Linked DNA regions of Tamandua tetradactyla. The protein of the gene in region 1 interacts with the protein of each later gene in a pairwise test. Links are inferred from orthologs where the notes say so. Each region holds a gene or a part of one and is shown in the gene's direction. Other genes may lie near its edges.

What was found.
Region 2: the proteins of KPNA3 (region 1) and MAT2B interact in binary tests that used the Homo sapiens proteins (3 or more experiments, as listed by UniProt). The two-hybrid records come from large-scale screens. The link is inferred for Tamandua tetradactyla from reciprocal best matches to the Homo sapiens genes KPNA3 and MAT2B.
Region 3: the proteins of KPNA3 (region 1) and TSSC4 interact in binary tests that used the Homo sapiens proteins (3 or more experiments, as listed by UniProt). The two-hybrid records come from large-scale screens. The link is inferred for Tamandua tetradactyla from reciprocal best matches to the Homo sapiens genes KPNA3 and TSSC4.

Annotation. Positions count from the first base shown.
Region 1 is NC_135330.1:108,182,291-108,190,095, forward strand, and holds the start of KPNA3 (importin subunit alpha-4), read left to right. Parts: upstream 1-4,804; 5' UTR 4,805-4,868; coding exon 4,869-4,937; intron 4,938-7,805. UniProt on the Homo sapiens protein: Functions in nuclear protein import as an adapter protein for nuclear receptor KPNB1. Binds specifically and directly to substrates containing either a simple or bipartite NLS motif.
Region 2 is NC_135346.1:44,625,396-44,632,634, forward strand, and holds the start of MAT2B (methionine adenosyltransferase 2 subunit beta), read left to right. Parts: upstream 1-4,239; 5' UTR 4,240-4,327; coding exon 4,328-4,390; intron 4,391-7,239.
Region 3 is NC_135335.1:2,280,607-2,288,558, forward strand, and holds the start of TSSC4 (U5 small nuclear ribonucleoprotein TSSC4), read left to right. Parts: upstream 1-4,952; 5' UTR 4,953-5,160; intron 5,161-5,374; exon of another isoform or gene 5,375-5,479; intron 5,480-5,765; exon of another isoform or gene 5,766-5,862; intron 5,863-6,675; 5' UTR 6,676-6,825; intron 6,826-6,913; 5' UTR 6,914-6,936; coding exon 6,937-7,911; 3' UTR 7,912-7,952. Other genes in the region: CD81 antigen, read left to right, coding at 372-469, 874-948, 1,230-1,334, 1,582-1,683, 2,494-2,580, 2,685-2,747. UniProt on the Homo sapiens protein: Protein associated with the U5 snRNP, during its maturation and its post-splicing recycling and which is required for spliceosomal tri-snRNP complex assembly in the nucleus.

The DNA of each region.
Region 1 (7,805 bases):
TAGTTTTCAGATTTGAAAGGTCCCTCCACTGTGCCAAGCTGGGAAAGTTTCATGGACTTGGGATGGGTATTTAAAGAAGGGTTGATTTTGACAGGCAAAGATAGGGGCGGGGCTTTCTAAGCAAATCAAAACATCAAGGTTGGTGGGGAGTGGTGCACAGGGGGTTCGGTGGTAGAATGCTCACCTTCCCTGCGGGAGACCTGAGTTCAATTCCCAGTCCATGCATCTTCCTCCCCACCCCCAAAAAACCATCAAAGATGGGAAGTTGGAAAGGCAAAAACATGTTTGGAAAAGGGTGAATCAAACCTGTTGGGTAAAGCATGAGCTTTGTGTAGGAAAACCAGAAATAAGAGAAGTGTTCAATGCTGGGGCCAGGTCACTTATGACCTTAATCACCAGACTGAGTTTAGAAATGATTTAACAGTGGTGGAGGAAGAGGGATGTCTGGGTCAGATCATGGTGAAAAGTCAGGAAAATCAGGAGAAGGGATTTGAGTCATTGTGGAGAGAACAGATGGTTTGGTTTCCTTAGTTGCTCAAGCAAATACCATGCAATGGGTTGGCTTAAAGCATGGGAATTTATTGGCTCACTGTTTTGAGGCTAGGAGAAGTTCAAATCAAGGCATCAGCAAAGTGATCTTTCTTCCCAGAGGCTGGTGTTCTGAGCCTGGCTGCTAGCAATCCTCAGTCCTGGGCTCCTCTGTCATGTCACATGGTAAGGCACATGGTGGCCTCTTCTGGTCTCTCCCATCTCTTCCAGATTCCATTGAATTTCAGCTTTGTGCCTTTTGTGGCTTTCTCTCTCTCTCTGTCTGACTTTCATTCTGCTTATGAAGGACCCCAGTAATAGGATTAAGACCCATCCTGCTTGAGGTGGACCACACCTTAACCAAAGGAACTTCATCAAAAGGTCCTGCTTACAATGGGTTCCTACTCACAGGAGTGGATTAAGTTTAAGAACATGTTTTTCTGGAGCACCTACAGTGCCAAACCACCAGAATGGAGAGGCATAATGGCAGTCTTGTGGGTGGCACTGAAGGATTAAGAAAACACTGAAGGATGAATTAACATGGTAGCAGGGTGAGAGAGCCAAGGGAAGAGCAGGAAGCAAAAACGGCTCTTGGCTTTGAGCAAGGAGGCCTTGGGGGAACGGCTATATCATCATAGAGCCAGAGAATTTACAAAGAGAAGCTGATTTGAGGGGAAAATGATGCGTTCCCTTTTGGATCTGTTGGGTTTGCATTGCCTGCTGTGTATCGCCACCTAGCAAGATTCCCAATGCTTTGGGAATGATGGATGATGAAACAGAGGATGAAGGAGGGTTTGGCTGATCCCCTGGCTTTGGGCCCTTTCTTTCTACCTCTGTTCTGGTACCCCCCGCCCCCAGACCCTGTTTCCCTGATGAAGACAATGCTTGGTGGGTGGTGAGCACTCAACATATATTTGGAAAATAAGTCTATTTAAAAGAAGAGTTACCAGGAGAAATTTCAGGGCAAGGGTCAAGACTACAGTGAAGCCAAAAGTAGCAGGTAGGTGCTAGCCATGAGAAACACCAAATTTGAGTTGCTGGAGGTGGTCATTTCCTGGAGATTAAGAACTCCAAGGCCTGATAGGTTATAAGTGATAGAAACCCAGTGAAGTTAAGATGTGAAGAGAATCTAGGACTGGAATTCCTGAGTTGTGGATGTTGAAATCACCAGGGGATAATGGCAAGAAGTGACTAAGTTAGACCTGGGCAAGAGGGGTCCCAGCTTTGGAAACTAACTTTGAGAGGATCTCAACTCACTTCTGGTGTATCCACCACCCCCCTCCATGAGGAAAGGGGTCCATGGGGCCAAAGGATCTTATTCACTGGAACCTGAACCTTTGGACCAATTTCTGAGTACCAGTGCCCTGGGGTTCCCTGCTCAAATCACTCCAAGCCTGTTCCCAGGGTCTTTCCAAGTGTTTTCTCTGGGTCTGTCTTCCAAGGGAGACATCATGCCACCTCTGCTTGTGCATCTAGGCCTAACCCTCTTGAGGCAGGTAGAAGGATGGAGACAGAGCTTTGGGGATGAGTAGGCAGGACTTGAACATTATGGGTCATTACAGTGTGGCACAGAATCAGGACAGGGAAGAGAAGGGGGACAAACAGCAAGATGTGGGTGGGGCCCCAACCCTCCTTGAGAAGCCACCTTCTGAAGCAGAAGTTGGGGAAATTAAGACATTTAAATTTGAACTCAGACTCTAAGGTTGTTGAAGAGGTGCATTTGTTAATGCAAGAGGCTAGAATATATTTTATTTAAGTTTTTCAGCTTGATTTATAACTTCTAAATATTTATACCTATGAATTGTAGACCTCCACTTACACTTTTGCTCTGAGAGCCTCAAAAGTTTGGAATGGACAGGTTATAAAAGTCTCCCTGTAGAGGGCTTTGAGCTTCCTTACCCTTTCTTAACTTCCACCCCATTTTCTGAGTGATTATTTATTTTGTTGTGATGTCTCCTGGAACCAGGTTGTCCTGTTTACAAGAGGATCTTAATGCTAGTACCAAGGCTGACATACACAGTAAGTGATCACCAAATATGTCTAAAACTCCAAAATGAGTCAAGAAAGGTTTATACATTTGAAGGCAGCAGGTAGGATGAAGGGAGGTGGTAGAAGGGGATAAAAGAATACCTTGCTTAATTATAACAGGGATTCAGCAACAGTATAGAATTTTCTCTCCTTCCCCTCCCAGATAATCTGGGAAAGTGACACATATGCCACCTCTATATCTTTATGAACGAGAGTTGAAGAAATCTGTTCATTTTAAGTCCTAGTTTTTTGTTAGTGATGTTTTTTTCTTTCAAAAGGGTTAGGGACCAGGAGTGGCAGACTGAAAGCCTGGAGTTCCTAAGTGTTACGATTTGCTAAAGCTGCTGGAATACAATATATCATAAATGGACTGGCTTTTGCAAAGGAAATGTATTAAATTACAAATTTACAGTTCTAAGGCTATGAAAATGCCCAAATTAAGGCATCCTGAGAATGATACCTTGACTCTGAAGAAGGCCGATGGTATCCAGGGTTCCTCTTGCACCTGGGAAGTCACATGGTGATGTCTACTGGCCCTTCTCTCTAGAATGTCTCTGAGCTTCTGTGTGTGTTTGCTTGTTCCTCCTGGGGCATTTCTGTTTCTGAGCCCTTTCCAAAATATCTCTGCCTTTTATCTTTTCATAAAGGACTCCAGTAAAGATGATTAAGACCAACCTTTGAATAAGGTGGGTCACATCTCCATGGAAACAACCTAATTGAAAGTTTCCACTCAGGAGAATAGATTAGAAGAACATGGCTTTTCTGGGGAATATAACAGTTTCAAAGCAGAATACTGACTGGATATCCAAGTACATTAAAAAAAAAAAGTGTCATTTAAAAATAAAGGAAAAAAAATCCAGCTTTGTTACTCTTTTGAAAAATTAGACCCTCAGGCAACACTGGGCTACAAGGGTCTGGAGCCTTTAAATAGTCCTGTGTTTACCAACTGGCCACCTGCCACTCAGAAAACAAATGCCCCTGGACATAGCCTGACCAGTTCCATTGGATTTCCTGCCTGGCCATTGAATGCCTCTGAGTTTGTGACCTTGGGACCTCTGGCTCTTTTAGGCCCCTTAAAAGTCTGTTCTTTGAGTAATCTCATCATGGTTATCTTTCTAGCAATCTTTGAAGGACATCAGTTCATTTGAACTACATGTACAATAACATTTTTTTGCCTGTTTATATCCACCAGAGTCTGAAACTGAATTTCACAAATAATTAAACGAAGCCCACCTGCCCCAGAAAACAGTTCTGAGTGTTCTGAGGCAAATCCCCCTGGATTCTTCCTCTGAAGAGCCTAAGAAGAGATGCTAACTGGAGAGCCCGCGGAGTAGGGCCTCTGAGACTGAGATTGTGCGTGGTGGCTGACCAGGAGTCAGGGACACACACGTACAGGGGCTGCCACAGAGGGGATGGAGGTGGCAGCACGGGGATTGGGAGGAGGCTGAAGAAATCCGGAGGTGCTGAAGCGCCATCGTTTGTCCAGTAGCTATGAAATGTCAACCAAAGTGCCTGCTCTCCCCGAGCTTAATTCCGGTGCTGTAAGTCAGGTAACACAGACGTAAACACACATATCACGTTCACACCCACGCACAGGTCAGGTGGAAATAAATGTTCTTTTCCCAGCCCAAAGCAGAGCCCGGGAACAGCGGGTGAGGGTGGTGGTACTCTTGCAGGAGGAGTCCGGAGAAGCGAGGGAGCAAGGCACAAGCGGAGCTCCTTTCTCATTTCCCCAGGAAGCCCCGCCCCCTCCGTCGCAGGAGGGCGCAAGGTGCAGCTCCGGGAAGCACCGCCCCCTTCCCCGCCCACAGGAGGCCCTGGGGCTGGGTCTCGCGCCCAGGCGCGCGCAGGGCTCCCGGCATTCCCCTCGTTCTCCCAAGGGCGCGAGGAATCTCCCCCGGCCGAAGCTTGGCATGCCGGGAACTGTAGTCTCCGGCCGGCTCTCGCGCACGCGGGCGAGTAAAAGCCACCAAACCCGGCTCCATTTCTGGTGTATGACTTGCAGCCCGAGGGGTGCTGGGGAGGCTTTGCTAGGGGGCGGAGGTCACCCCCAGAACCAGGCTGGGCACCGCCCCCGGTCACGTGCCCGCCCCCTCCCCTTCCCGGGCACGCCCCGCCCCTCAGCGCCGTCACCCCCCCCCCGCGCCCCGCCCCGCCTGTCCATCGGTCCGCTCCCCCGGCGCTGCTGCCACCTCGCGCCCAGCGGCGTCGCGGAACGCGCGCCCCCGCCCCGCCCGCGGTCCCCCCCTCCGCGCCGAGACTCGCCGCCGCCGCCGCCGCAGGAGGAGCCGCCGCCGGAGTCGCGCGCAGCCATGGCCGAGAACCCCGGCTTGGAGAACCACCGCATCAAGAGCTTCAAGAACAAGGGCCGCGATGTGGAGGTGAGCGCGCTTTGGCGGCCAGGCAGGCACCGGGCGGGGCGGTCAGCGGGGAGGCCCGGGCTGCAGCCGCCCTCCGCGAGTCGCCGGCGTGGTGGGCCCCGTCACGCGGGCGCGGCCTGGTGTCGGCGAGGGAGGGCCGCGGGGCCGAGGCGGGGGCCGCGCAGGCAGGGGTGCTGCCCCCGGGCAGTGCAGCTTCCAGCTTGCCGGCGCTGGGGACCGAGGCGCGGCCCGTTCCCGCGCCTCCCGCGGGCGAGCCGGGCCCAAGGCTGGTGGTGGCGGTCCGCAGAGGGGGTGGGGACCAGCCGGGGAACTGACGGGTTTGAGGATGGTGGGTGGGGGAGGGTAGGATGCGCCAGGACCATTTTCTTGTATTTCAGGGTTGTCCTTTGGGTCAGGCGTGCTGAGCTCTTCCAGCTCCCGCTCCTGCTTCTGCTGGCATTTGGGGCAAGGTGAAGATGGTCAGTAGTTTACCATCTATTGTGTGGAGGCTTTGGAGGAAAGGTTGTTCCGACCTCCGCTAACAGGACCCGTTTTCTTAGCCTTTCTTGGAGTGGGGTTTGCAAAGGTGGATGCTTTCTTCGAAGGGTTTTACGGAAATAAAATTGGATGCTCGGGTTCGTTCGGCCTTATGTATCTCTTGCTCCAAGCAGGTAGGATTTCCTAAGTGGTTGCAAAACTGTAAACATTCATCGTGGTCACTGAGTTCGTTGCTACTCAGCATGTTGCCATTGTCTCGTTAAGGTGACATTAGCAGGTACTATTTGCAAACTAGGCTTATCCAGGCAGCGCTAGAGGTCTCTCTGCAGCTACCCAAAGCAATGTAGTATAATGTACAAACTTCACTGGGACTCTGACCTCTGGGTTGGTGAGGGGGGAAATGGTTTTAAGGCCACAGCCTCCTTTCCTAATACTAGGTGGCACCATGTCCAGTTTTGTAATTCTTATCAAGAGGCTATTGTGATTAAGAAGGGTGCGTTTTATCCTCTTTTAAAGGTGGTAAAGAAAAAAAAAAGCCGTTCCACATTCTGTTTGTAGAAAACAGATGAAACTCCAGCCATTTTTTCAAAGCTACAAAATTAAACTAACTGGAAAAAATCTAGGGACTTATCTGTGGAATTTCCATTTGAATGAGAAGTAAAGGTCGTCTGTCCCTGTCCTGGTCATGATTAAATTTCCTTTGTGAGAAATATGTCTAAGTAAAAGTGAAATTTGGAAATAGCAACAAGCAGTTGCCTCCTCCTGTTGGTTCACTTGATGACAGGAGTTAATTTTGAACTTTTTCTATCCCTGGTTTTTTTCATGTGCCTTCCCCCTATTATAAAGCAAAACTTAGATTGTTTGAAAAATACCTATACTGTTTGTACAGAAAAACTAACAGCATCCTTTTTTTCTCTTGACTATTGGTACAGGTTTTGTCTTATTGTTTCTTTTGTTGGGTTCTAGGGGCTCAGTGATACCCAGCTAGGACTCCTGCCCATAACAGGTCCACAACAAATATTTGCTCATGATCAGAAGGTAGCCAGTGATTTTTAGATGTGTGATTGCCTGGTCTTTCAAACTGAAAATACTGCTCACAACAACACGACATTTTCCAGGATACATAGGATAACTAAGGATGTAATGTTAGTCATTCAAATGTGATGGTTCTCTGTGGCAAGCACTGTACTAAGAGCTTCATGATGCCTCATTTAATTCTATAGCAACTTTAAGAGCCAGGGGTTGCATTGTCCCCGCTTTATGCAAGGAAGATACAGTAGGTGAGGAACCCAGGTGCACATGGAGCCTACCCAGGGTTCACTAGTAGGTCTCAGCAGTCAGGCACTGATTGTCTGTTGGGGATCTAACTGTGTGCCCAGCCAGCATGGTTCCAGGTCTTGGGGAGACAAATGGGGAGGAATTCAGCCTGAACCTTCCAGGAGTTTACAGTACAGTGGGGCTGATTGAATAGTAAAGTGGTGATTATAATGCAGTATGTCAGTAAGTATGCTGATATAGGTACAATGAGAATGCGCGAGAAGGACCTGACTAGGAGCTGGGGGTCAGAGGAGCTGTTCCAGTTGATTCCTAATGCATGAATGGGATTGAGCCAATAATGAAGGCTCAAAGAAAGTTGGCCAGGCAGAGGGCAGGATGAGGGGGAGGGGAAAGAAGGGGTACTCCACACTTAGTGTTTGAGGAGTCCTGAGAAAAATGTAGCCTGCTGAGGCTTGGAGAAAGAAGAGAGTGCTAGAGATGTGGTTAAAAGGCAGATTGGGCTCAAGTCTGACTAAGTACCTTTGTGGATTTAGGCATAAATAAAACCAGACACACCATATCTAATTTAGTTGTATCCATTAGAAACTGTATTACATTAGAAATGTATTCTACCACTTAGCTCTGTGACTAACTAGTTGTGGTTATCAGGCTTTTCCAAAACTGTGAGGTGCACTTTAATGAGATATCATTCCTCCTTTTTCACATACAGGATGGACAACGATCCAACATGTTATAAGCAGCTGTTACACAAATAAGATGCTAGGTGCAAGAATTAAATGAATATTTCTAAAGAAGATGGAAGTGTAGAATTGTGCTGGGGGTTGTAAGTGGGGAGAGAGTGGAGGAGTAAAATTATTTCATATTCATTCAAGAATGACTTTATAGAAGAAAGATTTTAAGAGATCCTTGGAGAGAGAACGCAGTTTGTGAATCACTAGGAAGTATATACCAAACTTGAAAGAGGCCTATGAGAAGTTTGTTAATAAATATCCAGGTGAAAAAGGAGAGACCAGGTAGTGAACAGTTAAGAGACTTGCAGTTGGTCTGTGGTGGGCTGAGAATATGCCTTCCAGAAAAGAGTTGCTTGGAAGCTTTTTCTTGAAAGAGAGATCT
Region 2 (7,239 bases), on another chromosome or scaffold:
ATTCCCTTTGCTGAAACTGTTTAATACTATTTAAACATTGTATGGTATTTGTTTTAGCAGCTGGGAAATTAAAATAGTTGTTTGTACTGGACAGTGGACTGCTGCTATTGCAAATACCTAAAAAATGTGGAAACAGCTTTGCAATTTGGTAATGGGTGGTGGAAGCTGGAAGTATTTTGAGGCGCTTGATAGAAAAAGCCTAGATTGCTTAGAAGAGACTGTTCTTGCCCAGACCGAGCTCATACCAAGCATGGGAGGCTGTGGCTGGGAGACTGAAAAACACACCAGGCACAGAAGCGGACATGGGTTTACTGGGATGCATGAACAGAAGTTCTTCAGTGGCAGCTGCCTGACTTAAACACTCCACAAAGGGAACAGGAATGCAAGAGGGTATATATGATTACAGAACAAAGACATTCCACATAGTATGAGGGCATCAGGTCTCTAGTATAATCCTTAAAGGGGCCTAAAACCTAATATTTACTAAGATTAGTGTTCAAGACTAAGATAAAATCAATGCGGTTTTCACCTCTGTAGTTACATTCTTCCCCCTCTGGGGAGATCGTTTACTTTCTTGACCTTTGTCCTTGGCTAAAGCAGGTCTGTTATCGGCTTTTTAGGAGGAGGTCCCCTGGCATCCGGTAGCCATAGACTGTTATTAGAAACATCAGCACTTAATATTATCAGTATTTTAGATCTTAACCATTGTGATTTTAACAGATTTTAATCTGTTGTGATGTCTTAATGTGGTTTTAATTTGCATCTACCTGATGATAAACATCTTTTATGTACTGGTTGACTACCTTCATAACTTCATTTGTGAAGTGTCTGTTCAAAGCTTTTGTCCATTGAATGTTTTCTTATTATTGAGTTATAGTAATTGGCATATATTCTGAATATAAATCCATTTCAGATGTATGTATGGATAATTTTTCCTCGTCTGCGATTTGAGTGCGTTTTTAATTTTGATGAAGTCTAATTTATCAATTTTTAAAAAGTTTATGGTTTTGACTTTCCCTGTCATATTTAAGAAATAATTTGTTTATTCTTAGATTTTGACCATATTCCCTTTCATTTTCCTCTAAAGTGTTACGTTTTAGCTTTTAATCTGGACAATACAAATTTCTAAGATACTTATTGAAATACACAAACATGCACAAAAGTTTTCCTGTAAACTTATGGACTCCTCTGAGTGTTTCATGGAATTTACTATAACTGTGTCCTCTAAATGTTTCAGAGTTGTCATTTTTTTTAGCTCTATCTGACTGGTATTTTAAATGGTTAAATTGGCACAAAGTCATAATCTAGAACAGTAGTTCAAAATTTAACAGAACATACTTATCACTCTTAATATTATTTGAAACTGAGATCAATGTGCCATACTCTAGGAAATAATTTAGTTCCACTGACGTACAGAGAGCCTTGGGAATCACTGATCTGGAAATCCTTAACATTTGTCCAAACTTAAGGTCACTTCATCTACCATTTTCTTAAATACTTAAAAGGGCAGCAAAATGTTAATAGAAATGACTTGTTGCATTTTAACTTTTTGTGTTGTTACCAGCGGTGCCTTTTACAGATTTTTGAATTAGTCATTTAAAAAGCACTGGGGAGAAAGCACTGGAGAAATATACTACATATTTTCTGTTGTAAAAAGGAATAACTGAATTAAATATTTCAGAACAGGAATCAGTCGCGAGGCTGGCATACTTCCCAACGGCTGGCCCTCGCTTTTCTACTGCAAGAGAGATTGCAAGGAGGCTCCACAGAACATAGGAGTGCGCTCCTGTTTTTAGTAAGTTTGTTCTACCTAACATATTGTTCTGCAAATAGACCCTCGCTTGGCTGGCAATTAAACATGAAACTTCTCATTGGGTATTTTCAAGCCAGTCACAGGGAATCAGCTGCCAGTTTACTGCAACGTGGAAAAACTGCACGAGTTTCTGGGATTGGAATCAAACTGCTAATTCAAAAGGTCAAGTGAAGCGGCGGCTCAAGTTTTCGTGCCTGCGCTCTCTGCAGGCAGAAGCAGACAAAGACCCAGCGAGAGGAGGCAGAAGCTAAGGTCCATTCTGTTTTCCTGAAAATAATTTTGGAATCATGCCTGAAATGCCGGAAGACCTAGAACAGGTAAGAGCTAGCTGTTCACGAAACAAAGCACCCCAGAGTTAGAATTGCGTTAAAAACATCCCAGTAATGAAAATAAAAACGGGTGTCGTTCGTTTCTTTAAAACATATAACCCTCTGACTCGGAAGACTAAACCAACTTTAGTTGTTGACCCAGGAAACGAAGCTATGGAAATCTCATCTAAGTTTCATTAATTGACAAAAATAAAACACACAACAGAATAGCACTTTCACTTACCAGATTAAACGCAATGATATATGCATTTGTATACATACGTTTGTATATAAGTAAGGATTTTATTTATAGTTGTGTGTTCCAGCCTTTGTCTTTGCATGAATTGAATCTGCCAACCTAATTTCTAGTCTTTGCATTTATACACTTAGCCACGTCAGGAACTTGGATATTTTTTGAATAACGATTTATTCTTATAGCACCTTTCATCATAAATAGTATGACTGAAAGCCATAGACGAACATATGCAACTAGAATATACCCAACTTTTTATCTGGCCAGTATCCTAAACCCAGGGCTTCAAATATAGGCAAGTAAACTCTTTTTATTCCTGACTCGAGATAAGGCTGTTATGGGAATCAAAATGCTTATTGCGTATATATGTCCAAATGTTCATTCATATCGAATACTTAATTTTTTGTTTTCCTAGAAAGATTAGACTGAATTTGCAACTGGAAACTTTAAACAAAATCCCAGATTTTCTTGAGGAGCAAACCCTCACACCTTCTTTTCATTGTTTGCCGATTATGCATATTTAGTGACCGAGTGGTCCTGTCTGGGATTCCCTAATGATGCTAAACTAATGAACAGCGTCTATTACCACCAAAATAGAAACGTGAGGAGCCCCAGGGTCTTTTCGGTTACGGTTCTGAAAAGGACTTTAGATTTACGCCAAATAAAGGAAATGGGTACTTGTTGGGGGATGGGTAAAAATTAAAGTCACGGGGTTCAGACCTCGAAGAACTACTTTTAAAGACTGCTTATAGCCGAATAATTTTCGGTTTTATTTAGCTTATAAGCTAAAACCGAAAGTATTATTAAAACAAGTCTTTCTTGGAAAAATTGTGGGCACATTGTGGGCGATCTTCAGACCACGGTTTGCTCTGAGTCTGAACAAAAACGTTCAGAGTATTCGTGAACAGTGGGAGAACCCTACAAGGTCTGAGCTTGGTTTTTTATTTTGTTTTATTTTTGTTGTTTCTGCTTAAAATTCCTTAGACATCCTGGCTGGAAGGGGCCTCCTGCGGTTTTGAACTGAAAGGGAAATCAGTTAGTTGCGTGCTAGGGCGGTCTCAACAGGACTGTTGTAACCGAATCATTTTTAAACAGCGATACAGGTGGCAGAATGTTCAGCATTGCACTCGCCCCTCGAGTCCTTCCTTAAATTTCCAAAGGCTTTCTTTAGTTAAGCTGGCGTTGCTCAGCACTGCGGCCCCTAAGATGGTGCTTCTTAAAGTGCGGTGTTCAGACCCCTTGCAACCACTAAAATGTAGATTCCTCCGGCTTTGACCCCAGATTCTTATTTTGTAGATATGGGTTAAGCCCAAGAAGCTGCTTTTTGAGCAGATTCTTAAAGAATTCACGCCCCGCCCCCTCCCCCCCAAATGCCTTATTATTTTTATTTTATTTACTTAAAAGTAGCCGAGAAAGACAAACAGGGCCCTGAAGTGTTACTGATTCAGATGCAAATTTCTTATTTTTATTCCCTGTCTGTTTCCACATCTATAAAACCCCACACTCCTCAAGACTTTTAAATGTTTTTCAGTACACTGTCTCTCTTATACCCAGTTGAGTCTTTTGCATTGAGCAGTCTGTAAACTTCCATTCACGCCAAAATTCAACCCTTCCGCGACCACAAGAAAAAGAAGAAAGGAAACAAGCACACACATAATCAAAACCCCTTAAAACAAAACGTGTAGTTATTGTTAAGTCTGGGGCCACCGCTGTGTGTATGACTTTAAGAACTGGCGCGTGGGCTGAGAGCGTCCCGCGTGCGCCCGCCCCTTTCTGGCGTGTAGACGGGGCTTGTCCAATCAACAGGCGTGGCCCTGGCGGCGGAAGCCGGAAGCGGAGAGCAGAGGCTGGCCTGGTAGGGAGGCGGGCCCAGGCGGAGGGAGCGAAGGCTCGCGGCGGTCCTGGGCTGGCGGAGGTGGCGGCCGCGACGGCCGCGGCGCAAAGACGGCGGGGATGGTGGGGCGGGAGAACGAGCTCTCCATCCACTTTGTTCCCGGGAATTGCCGGCTGGTGGAGGTGAGGGGTCGGCCCGGTGGTCTTCAGTGGGGTCCGGGCGCACAGACTGGGACGACTCAGGTCGGTCGGGCCTCGGGTGGTCTGCTCGCGCTCTGCAAGCCAGCGGGGGTCCCCGGCTCGGAGTTGCCTCTGCGCCATCCTCCCCACACAGGGAGCTTTGGGCGGTGTCACTGAGTTTGTTTACCTTAGCGCACATTCGTCAGTGTTTTCTCTTCCAGCCGCTGCGGCAGGAAGCGAGTAAGTCGGGGTTTCACTTTCGGGTCCCCAGTCTTCGCTCCCGGGAATGAAGAGGGAATTTTCAGAGTTGTTTGCGTCTTGGTTTTACTTTTCTTCATTTCTTTCTCATCCTTGGTTTGTATACCTCGATCTTACCAGTTTGTAGCTCTGAGAAAGAAGGGGAAGGGTGGCTTTTCAGGAATAACAACACTATTGTGTTAACGCATTTTACTTGCATTATTTAATTTGTTATTCATAACTATGAGATACTGTTATTTTCCCATTTTACAGGTGAGAGAACTGAGGCTTAGATTTGCCCAACTTATTTCAGTAAGGTTGAAATTAAGATTCATATGCCCGTTTGTCCGTTTCAGGCTTTGAATCACTACGGAGTTTGCATATAGGAAGTCTGTTAAGGTGCTTAAGAGCTGGTATTCCATCAGTCTCTCCTCTGTCACTCAGTTCACAGAATATATCAGCACTGGAGATAAAAAGACTATTAAAGCCCAGACCAGTATATTTTATGGATATGAGAAAGCGCATAGGAGATGGCTGTTAATGATAATGCAAAATTTCTACTCTTCCGAATTGTAGCATATTTACTTTAGCATATTTATTCTTGGAGACTGAGGATAAAGTTAGGAGAAATGGGCTACTTGAACTTACATTGTTCTTGTGTGCCCCCAAAAGTGCTGAGGTCAAAATGTTACATACTGTTTATATTTATGTATTTGTACATAAATACATAATATGTGTGTAAATAAAGCTTAATCTGTTTTCACAGAAGTTCAATAAACTAATGAAAATGATTTTTCATGTTTTCCTTTATTAAAAATGGTACAACTAAGAGCTTGGCACATATTGATTGCTCTCAAACTTGCAGAATTAAAACCCACTTGTCAGAGTGATAACTGTTTTAGAGTTAATGTTAGGGAAACAGGCTTTAGTGATTTCCTGTTAATACTGTCTGCAAGGTACAGTAGGGTCACAGAGGGACAGAGGGAGTTAGACCAATCCTATTTAGGTGATCATGGGATTTTAAAAGTTTCCCAAGAGTTTCCATTCAGAGGCCTACCTGGAGGGGAATGTTTTGAGGATGTATTCAAGAAATGAATGTGAAACTTTCCCAGATTTATGAGGTTTAAAATATAGCAAGGTCTTGTTATGCTTACCACTAAAATTTGAGTTTACCTTGCAGGTTTCAGCCATAGTTTGCACTATTTTTCTACAACATTTTGAGTAGAAGCTAAAGTGAGCTTAAGTAGAGATCACTGTGTCATGGTACTGTGTTGGACCATTTTGAAAAAGCTATGTATCCCCATTACTGATACAATTTGATGCCATTTAATGAGATAACATAGAAAGAGCAGAGGTTCCTCACTTATTTGTATGTATTTAATTTTTCAAGAATTCTTCTAGTATCTGTAATGTGGCCACTTGGACTTGTTGAAATCCTTACATTTTAAAGTTTACACAATAAGAGGCAAATGCATTAAGAATGACTTAAACTAATATATAGTTTTCTTTATATAATAAAAATTAAGAAGCCAGGTTTTGCCGACAAAATGTTTTCAATTCTTTACTGTGGTAAGGGTAACTAGATAACTTTTTATTTTTCCATTCTGAGTTCTAATGGTTTTTTGAAGTGTTTAAACATTCCTGTCTTTTGCAGGACTAAATTTATGGAGTGATGATCCCAGGTGATTTTTGTTTTTTTTCCCTAACAAAATCAAAACAAGTATACTTAACTTCAAAAAGCTTCAGACAGAGTTTTGTTTATATAGAAACTCTAAAATGGAAGAGATATTTATGATCAGAACCTTTTAATTTTAGGGCGATGGATATTTTTTTTTGCCAACCCCCAATAAATCTGCAATCCAAATGATAAAATCCTGTACTGGTGACAGAGAGAACTCTTATAGTCCCTAGTGACAATTAAGAGAAAAGAAGAAAAGTTACCTTTCTTAAGTAAATGATGTTCTTTACATTCTATTCAGGCCCTTTGACATAAGGATAATAAGGGAAAAGAATTGTGGAGCTTTAAAGCTGGAAGAACCTTAGTCATTTTGTCCAGACCACTCATTTTACTGATGAAGAATTAGATCAATAGAACTTAAGTAACTTCTCAAAACTAGTTTGTGGCACAGCTAGGACAAAACCTTGATACATAGAATCAAATATAAGTTCAAAGGATGGACACAAAACTCTTTAGGAATTTTGTAGGCTTGGACCACAGAAGCAAGAAGAACCAAGTTTCCCAGACATTTACGTACTTTACCCTAGGCAGAGGGTCTTCGTTTTGGAAATGATTACTTATGTAACACTTGCTAATTTTCACATATAAAATTGTGCAGCATCATTTCCACCTCATAAATGTTTGCACTTAAGATCCTTGCTCTTTTAATAAAAAAAAAAAGTCTTGCGCATTAACATCTGACCACAGATAACCAAGGGCTTTTTTCCTCTGGGGACTTTACAAATTACTCAGGTATAAAATTGTATCTTCTCTGTGCAACCCTAGACATTTTATATCTCCTATATTTAAATGAACTCTTTTATATTCCCAAAAGAAACTTGCTCTTGTAACCTTTGCTGTATTTAATCAAATCTAAGATGCTCTTACTTAAAGATGC
Region 3 (7,952 bases), on another chromosome or scaffold:
CCTGCCCTTCAGCACCGCCCCCACCATGGAGAGCCCACCTAGGGCTGCAGGAGGTGGGAGGGAGGGAGGAGGAGACACGGACCCCTGGCCCTTCTTGAGTGCTCCCTGCCACTCTGTCACTGTGCTGTCCTGGGACCAGGGACCCCTGCCCCCCACCAGCGCGGCCACCTTGTCTGATAAGGGCATCCTGGGGCAGTTGTCACAGTGCAGCCCCTGGGGACAGGCGGCCAAGTGCTGATGCTGACAGCGGCAGAAAGGGTGCTGCCCTGCCAGCTTGCGGGGGACAGGGGCTCCGCCTCACTGCACCTGCTCTCAGGCTGTTGGGGCGCCAGCCACTGCGTCTACACAGCCGACCACGCCCCCTCCCCCAGGTATCTACATTCTCATCGCTGTGGGCGCCGTGATGATGTTCGTTGGCTTCCTGGGCTGCTACGGAGCTATCCAGGAGTCACAGTGTCTGCTGGGGACTGTGAGAGCTTGGCGGGGCACTGGGTCGGGGGCCACAGGGGGCTTGGGGTGGGCTGGGGACCGTGGGAGGGTGGGGTCAGGCAGGGACTGGCAGGGGGGCCATGGCCGGGCTGGGGCTAGTGGGGAGACTGTGGGGTGGACCTGGGGACTACAGGGGAGGTGTGGGGGGGCAGGGACTGAGGGACAGGGTGAGGGCGGGCCTGGGATCCTCAGGAGATTGGGGGTCATGGGGCAGGCCCAGGAGCAGCTGCAGTTCTCATGGACAAGCCTGGGAGATGGAGTAGGCAGTGCTTCTCGCGGGCCTGGGGAAGGGTCAGCGGGCAGACCCTGGGGTCTGGTCCGGAACGTGGGCTGTTTGGGTGTCCTGTCCTGTTCTGATGTTGCACCCTCCCCCACCCCACCCAGTTCTTCACCTGCCTGGTGATCCTCTTTGCCTGTGAAGTGGCCGCTGGCATCTGGGGCTTCGTCAACAAAGACCAGGTGAGCCAGAGCCTGGGGGGGCAGCGGAGAGGGCCCTGTGCTCAGGTGTGGGCGGGCGGGTTGGCCCTTAGCCGGGGATGGGCTCCCCTGGGGCCCACCTGAGAGCAAAGTCACGGAGGGCTTCCTGGGGGAGGCAGCCTCGGGGCTGAGAGCAAAGTCACGGAGGGCTTTCTGGGGGAGGCGGCCTCGGGGCTGAGCCGCGGGCAGAGCGGGGCCGTGTCCCTGCCTCCTGGGAGTGTGGGTGCACCGCTTCCACTGAGGGGTGCCCGCCCGCCCCCCAGATCGCCAAGGACGTGAAGCAGTTCTACGACCAGGCGCTGCAGCAGGCTGTGGTGGACGACGACGACAACAAGGCTAAGACCGTCGTGAAGACCTTCCATGAGACGGTGCGGGGGCCGGGGGTCAGGTCCTGGCCTCAGCCTGGAGCTGCGGGAGGCAGGAGCCTGGTCCCCTGAGCTCTGCACCCCTGGGAACCCAGACGGGGTGCTGCTGGGGCCCAGTTTTCCGCCCTTTGCTTGATCCTGGGGTCCTCAGCATCCCCCAGACCTCACCGCACCCCATCACTCTGTCCCGGCCGAGGGCTGGTGGGAAGGCGTGACGCCCTGGCCCAACCACTGCCCTCGTTCCCTGCAGCTCAACTGCTGTGGCTCCAGCACCCTGACCATGCTGGCCAGCACACTGACCAAGAATAACCTCTGTCCATCGGGCAGCAACATCATCAGCAACTTCCTCAAGGTACGTCACGCCCCTCGGGGCGACCCCTGAGGCAGGAGTGGGGCTGGGCCTGACTGTTTCTGGGTGGCGGGTCCCTGGCCAGCGTGGGCAGGCTGCCCCTTGCTGGGACACTGTGGCTGGGGGGTCAAGGTGTGGCCGAGGAAGGCCATGGCATCTGCTATCTCCGTCTGCTGGGGCTCCCAGGACAAAGCTGCCTGCTGGGGGCTTGTCTCACAGCGTCTAAAGCGCCAGGGTCTTTCTCCCAGGCTGTGTGCTGTGCCGGCACTAGCCTGCTGCTTCCCCGGCGGCCCCTTCGCCTTCCCTGGCCGAGTTTCAATGTCCCCAGCGTGTGAGGCCTTCAGTCCCATTGGTGTAGGGCCCACCCCAGTCCCTTTGGGCCTCTCTGCAGAGGTCCCATTTCCCGTGGGCATGCGCCCGCTGGGTGGGGCGACAAGTTGAACACATCTTTCTGGGGGGACCTGTCTGGGGATCTGGGGATGAGGAGTTGGGCAGCTTGCAGGCTCCCCCAGGCAGCCATCTACGGCCCCATGTGAGAGGCCGGCACTCCTGGTGCCCCTGGGAGGCCACTGTGACCGTGCAGGCCCCCAGATGGGTGCAAGGGGCTCTGAGCTGGGGGCAGGGGGGTGGTGCGCACTGGCCCAACATGGCTAGGAGGAGGCAGGGGCAAGCTCCTTTGGTGCTTTTCCTGTATTTCCCATACTTTTTCTGTGAAGCTTTGTAGCACCAGGAGGGAGGGTGTGGGCAGGGGGGTGGGACAGTGAGCCAAGGGCTGGTGCCCTGCAGCCCTAATGACTCCTGTGTTCCCCACAGGAGGACTGTCACCAGAAGATCGACGACCTCTTCTCGGGAAAGCTGTACCTTATCGGCATCGCCGCCATTGTGGTTGCTGTGATCATGGTGAGCCGGCTCGGGCGGGTGGGGGCTGGGACTCTGGGCCGCGGGGGTCTGGGGGGCCAGTCACTATCTCCCTGTACCTCACGTGCCCACCCCTGTCCCCGCAGATCTTCGAGATGATCTTGAGTATGGTGTTGTGCTGCGGCATCCGGAACAGCTCCGTGTACTGAGGCCCCGGCAGCCCTGGCTGTGGGGTGGGGGAGGGCAGAGGGTAGCAGCCAGCCAGTGGGACCCCCACGGCCCTCCCCTCATGACCCGGCCATCTCTTAGGCGGCCCCTGGCACCACCTGTGTATATAACGTTTCCGGTATTACCCTGCTATACTTAGCATTTTTACTTTTGAGGTTTTGTTTTGTTCTGGTTTCCTGTTACCCTTTTGGGGCCTGCGCCAGGCGTAGGTGGCAGGAGAAGGGCCTGGGCCCAGCCTGGGGAAGCAGGGGAGGGGTCCACGAGGAGTCCCTGCCTTGGGGGCTCTGTCTGTCCAGCACAGCTGTCCAGGGGGGCACCTGTCCCGGCTGATGGGCTGTGTCCTCCCACCCCAGCCTGACCTGGGGGCTGGGCGTCTCCCGCCTTTTTTAATCCGCGTTCCTCCTCCCACCCCTTTTCTAGAGCACCCGTATGCCTTCTTGCAGCTATCCTTTCTAACATGTCATCTTCAACTGTAACTGTAACATCTTGGAACAGTCATTCAATAAAAAAGGAAAACCAGGCATGCTAACGTGGCTGCCCGAGCCCCTTCCTGTGCCAGGCAATGCCACACCCCGGGGATGGCTAGAGGCCTGGGGGGCCCCAGCTGGCTCTGGACCCGACCTGGCAATGGTGGACCCATGGTCCTTGGACAACGGTCCATGTGGCTACAAGATCCCACCCCCCACTCCTCCCTGCTTCTGAGGGCTGTTCCAGCCTTGGGTTTTCCTCATGCTCGTCAGAGCCCCACACCCCATCTGAGAGCACCAGGGCTGCTCTGGGGCTGCTGTCTGCCTGGGACTGCAAGGATTTGGCATGGATGCCTGGTGCTAGCACTCCTTCCCCTTCCTTCTGACATGTTCCCCTCCTGAAGGGGTGAGGGACTCTTCACTGCCCATCAGGAGAAGCTGGGAGGCTGGAGTAGGGTTGGTGGGGAAGACCACCTGGCCTGCTCCCTGGGCCCACGGAGGTCTTTCTGTTCTAGAGGTTTCAGTGAGTGCAGCCCAGACCCTGCTGCCTGGTCCCCCGCTCCCTGGGAGCCCAAGGATGCTGAGTGAAGGTGTCATGAGCTCAGCTGGGCCCCCAGAGACAAGTGCCCATCTGACTATGTCAGGGATAGTCCTGACAAGTGCCTATCTGACTATGTCAGGGACTTCCAGTCCTGCCCCGGGGTCTCAGCAGGCCTCCCCCATTCCCTACTACTGACGCTCGGGCAGGTTGGGACAGCACAGGATGGTCCAAGGAGCCCCTTCTGCTGCCCCTGGATCCCTGCCCAAGACTGTGGCCTGGTGGTCTGGGTATAGCCTCGCGTATGGCATGCTGCAGGATGAGACGTGGGGTCCAAAAGTAAGTTTATGGTTCACTCGACAGTGGGATCCTGATGAGGCAGGTGGGGACTGAGCCTCACAAATGGGGTATTTCAGGGTTGCCCAGCACATCAGGGACTGAGAGGGGGCACGTCTCAAACCCCTCTGGGTCTTTTTTGGGCTGGACCACACAGGACCTTGAGTCCTTGGGTTCCCAGGAGAGGCCAGGCCGGGGAAAAGGGCAGGTTCTCTCGACCACCACCCCGTCCCCCTAAAAGTGGAGCTGGGCAGCTGAGGGGCCTCACGGATGGGCTCATCAGCCGTCCCGGGGGAAGGGAGACCAGGACCTCCTTCTCTGCTGTGCGGACGTGACCTGCCTCACAGCAGCGGGCCCCTCCAACAGGCTGCCAGCCTCCCGAGGCGGGGCCGTCCGGGCCACGGCCCCCAGGCCTACTCGGGCTCTCCCCGGGGGCCCTGGGAGGACGCAGCCAGGCGAACGCTGGGCCCTGGCTTCCCCACCTGCAGGTCTCCCTTTCACTTCCCCTGAGGCGCGTCTCCCCGGTGACCGAAGGAGGCAGGCGCGCCGTCAGTGCCCCGGGTAGAAAGCCCAGATGGGGCCCGCTGTCGTCAGAGCCCACGTGGCGGGGATGGCTGGCCGCGGCCGCGTCCCTGAGGGAACCAGGAGGTCCGCGGGGCCGGGGTCGGGGAGCGCCTGGGATGCGGGTGGGAGGCACCCAGGCCAGCGGGGTGCCCAGACTGCGCCCGCATTACGTGTCGGCTGCAGCCAGGCCCGGAGCGGAGCTGGCACGGCAGCTGGCCGAGGCGGGGACGGGAACGCGGCGGAAAGCGCACGAGCGCCGGCAGACGGCCCCGGAGCTGAAACTCGGACTACAGCACCCGCGAGGCACCGCCCCTTCCGGCTGAGGCGCGAGGCACCGCCTCTTCCGGTTGAGGTCCGAAGGACCCACCCCGCTTAGCGGCGCTCGAGGCCGCGCTTCCGGCGTGGGCCGTCGCGCTCTCCCTGCGGCCCCCCTCCCCTGGTGGTGTTGGGACGCCTGGAGCTTCACGCTGGCCGTTAGCCCTCAGGATTGTGAGTGTCGCAGCCCGGGCCCCCGCACCCCTCCGCGTCTGAGTCAGTTCGGGCTTCGTTCTAGAAGAAGCGCCGCCGCTGCCTGGGCTGTTAGCCCCCAGCGCGCGGAGATTATAGGGAGCGCGCACGCCGACGCCCCCTGGCCTAGCAGTCCCGGCATGCCTCGGGCGCCGCGCCCCCAGTGCCTTGTGGGAGTTGTAGTTCTCTGGCCGCGGGAGCCGCCGCGTTCGGCCTCAGAGGACTCGGTTTCCCAGAAGGCCGAGCGCGGCGACCCGGCGGGCGCGCCCATCAAGATGGAGGCGAAGGCCGCCGAGAGCTGGTAGGTTGTGGCTGGGAGGCGGCTGTCCGCATCCCCGAGCCCAGAGGTCCCGCGGCACACAGGACCCCCTCCCTTCGCGGCCTGGCCTTCGGGACCTATCCGGCCAGAATCTACCGGCTCCCGAGAGCCGTCCCGTGGTTCCCCGACGTGGGGAGCCTGCGCGTGCTAGCTCGCTGGGTCCCGAGGGGAGAGACAACCGTAGGAAGCTGCCCCCTGTCCCCGGCTGCCTAGACCCTCAGCCTCCGCTCAACTCTGCGCTCCGCTAGCTGAATTTCCTTTATTCCAGGAGTCCCGCCCACCAGGCTACTTTGATTAGTCGCGGCAGCGTCCCCGGGGTGCAGAGGACAGTGCGAATTGGGGAAGCAGAGTCCGGCTGGAACTGGGTAACTTAGGCCGATTATTCCTACCCTGAGATCTCCCCGTGTCTGGCCCGGCAGGGAGCTCTCAGCCCCTCCTGGCCTGTCTGCATCCTCAGGGTGCAGCAGCCAGCGAAGCTGGGCAGGAGGAGGTGGTGGTGGCGATTGGCTGGGGGCGAGGCCGCGCTGTCCTCAGCCTGCGGTCAGCCAAGCTCCAAGCCTCCCAGAGACGCCAGACCCTGCCTGTGTCTCCAGCACTTCTCTGACTGCCTGGATGCCGCAGGGGAGATGCGGAATGGAGGTTGTTCCAGAAGCTGCCTAGGGCCTGTTTGTCAGAAAAGCTGCTCCAGGTGGTCACTGACTCCCCAGTTTTCCAAGACTTGGATGCGAAGGTCTTGATCTCTTCAGAGCTCCCAGGGCAGTTCCCTGCAAGTACATGCCAACTTCCTGCCCATGGACCAGGAAGGTGCCCCGACCTCTGTGGGATACTGAGTCTGTGCTGGGTACTCTGTTAAGCAGTTCGTCAAGGGCCCTGCAGTACGTGAGCAGAGGCTGTCCTCATCCTAGGCTCAGACCCTAGCTGAGTTGTGGACCAGTGAAATCCCCCCCACCCCCAAGTAGGCCAGTGAGTCTGCTGAGCCTCCATCTCTGCAGCCTGCACTTAAGACGATGTTGTCTTAAGAGGGTTATTGGAATTAAGTGAAGTAATGTGTTGGTAGTGCCTCCTGCAGTGCCTAGCATGCACTGGGGGCATGGTGAACACAGGCTCCCTCGTGAGTGCCACTTTGCACGCTCACTCTCTGGCCTGATGGTTGAGTCTCTTCCCCAACCCTCATCCAGCTGTAGCTGAGCAGCCAAGCAGAGCCGTGCTGGGGAGTCTCCTGGGACTGGGAAGACCTCGCCTCTGCAGCCGCGGAACTGGGTCAGGGCGCCTTTGCCTCGCCAGCCAGCACTTAGGCACCAGCTTCAAGCGTCCAGGAAACGAGGGAGGTGAGAGAGGGCTATCCATGGGTAAGGGTGGGACCCAGGCCCTTTCTCTGTAGAGGCAGCTCTAAGTCCCTGGGCTGTTTGCGTCTAGGTGTGGTGCAGCCCTCGGCACACATGGCGGAGGCAGGGGCAGGCGAGCCGTCCCCCAGCTTGGATGCCGAGCGTGGGGCAGAGTATGATGCCCTGCCTTCTGACACAGTCTCCCTCAGCGACTCGGAGTCGGACTCGGACCTCAGCCTGCCGGTCGGTGCTGAGGTGGAAGCTCTGTCCCCTGAGGGGCTGCCTGGTAAAGCTGGTGGGGATTCTGAGCCTGATGAGCCCCCCAGTCTCCCCTTGGACCTCCCAGGAGCCCCCGTCCAGCTGTTCCACCTGAGAGGCATGAGCTCCACCTTCTCGCAGCGCAGCCGGGACATCTTTGACTGCCTGGAGGGGGCGGCCAAGCAGGCCCTGCCCTCTCTGGCCCATGTCACCAGCGTGGGTGACGATGGGGACTTCAAGTTGCCCCCTGTGCCCCCCAGCCAGCCTCTCAGAGAGGCCCTGGGTAGGTCTGGTCGAAACCCTGCTCCCCTGAGGGCACCATCTGTCCCTGACTACGTGACCCACCCCGAGCGCTGGACCAGGTACAGCCTGGAGGACGTGGCCGAAGCCAGCGAGCAGAGCAACAAGGCTGCAGCCCTGGCATTCTTGGGCTCCCGGGGCCCGGCTGCCCCCACTCACTATGCGCCCTCCTTCAACCAGGACCCCTCCAGCCGCGGGGAAGGAAGAATCATCTTTTCCAAACCGGCCCGGGCTGGTGAGGCCAGACCTGAGAGGAAGAGGGTCCTGGGCAAGGCAGGAGGGCCAGGCAGGAGTGTCCCTGGGGACCTGGGGCTGGCAGAGGCCGAGGACTCCGTGGAGTTGGCCCATCTAGTGGCAAGTCCTGAGACTGAGGGGGGGCTGCCCGAGGAGGTTGCCCGCAGTGAGTCAGTGCTTGACCCTGGGGGGCCCCCAGTGGTGGAGGCTGTTGGCTTCCATGGTAGCAAAAAGCGGAGTAGAGAGCACTTCCGGAATAAAGGCAGCAGCCCCGAGGGCCCAGAAACTGAGGCCTGACAGAACGACTGCCCAGCTAGGTCACTCTGGCCGCTGCCGAG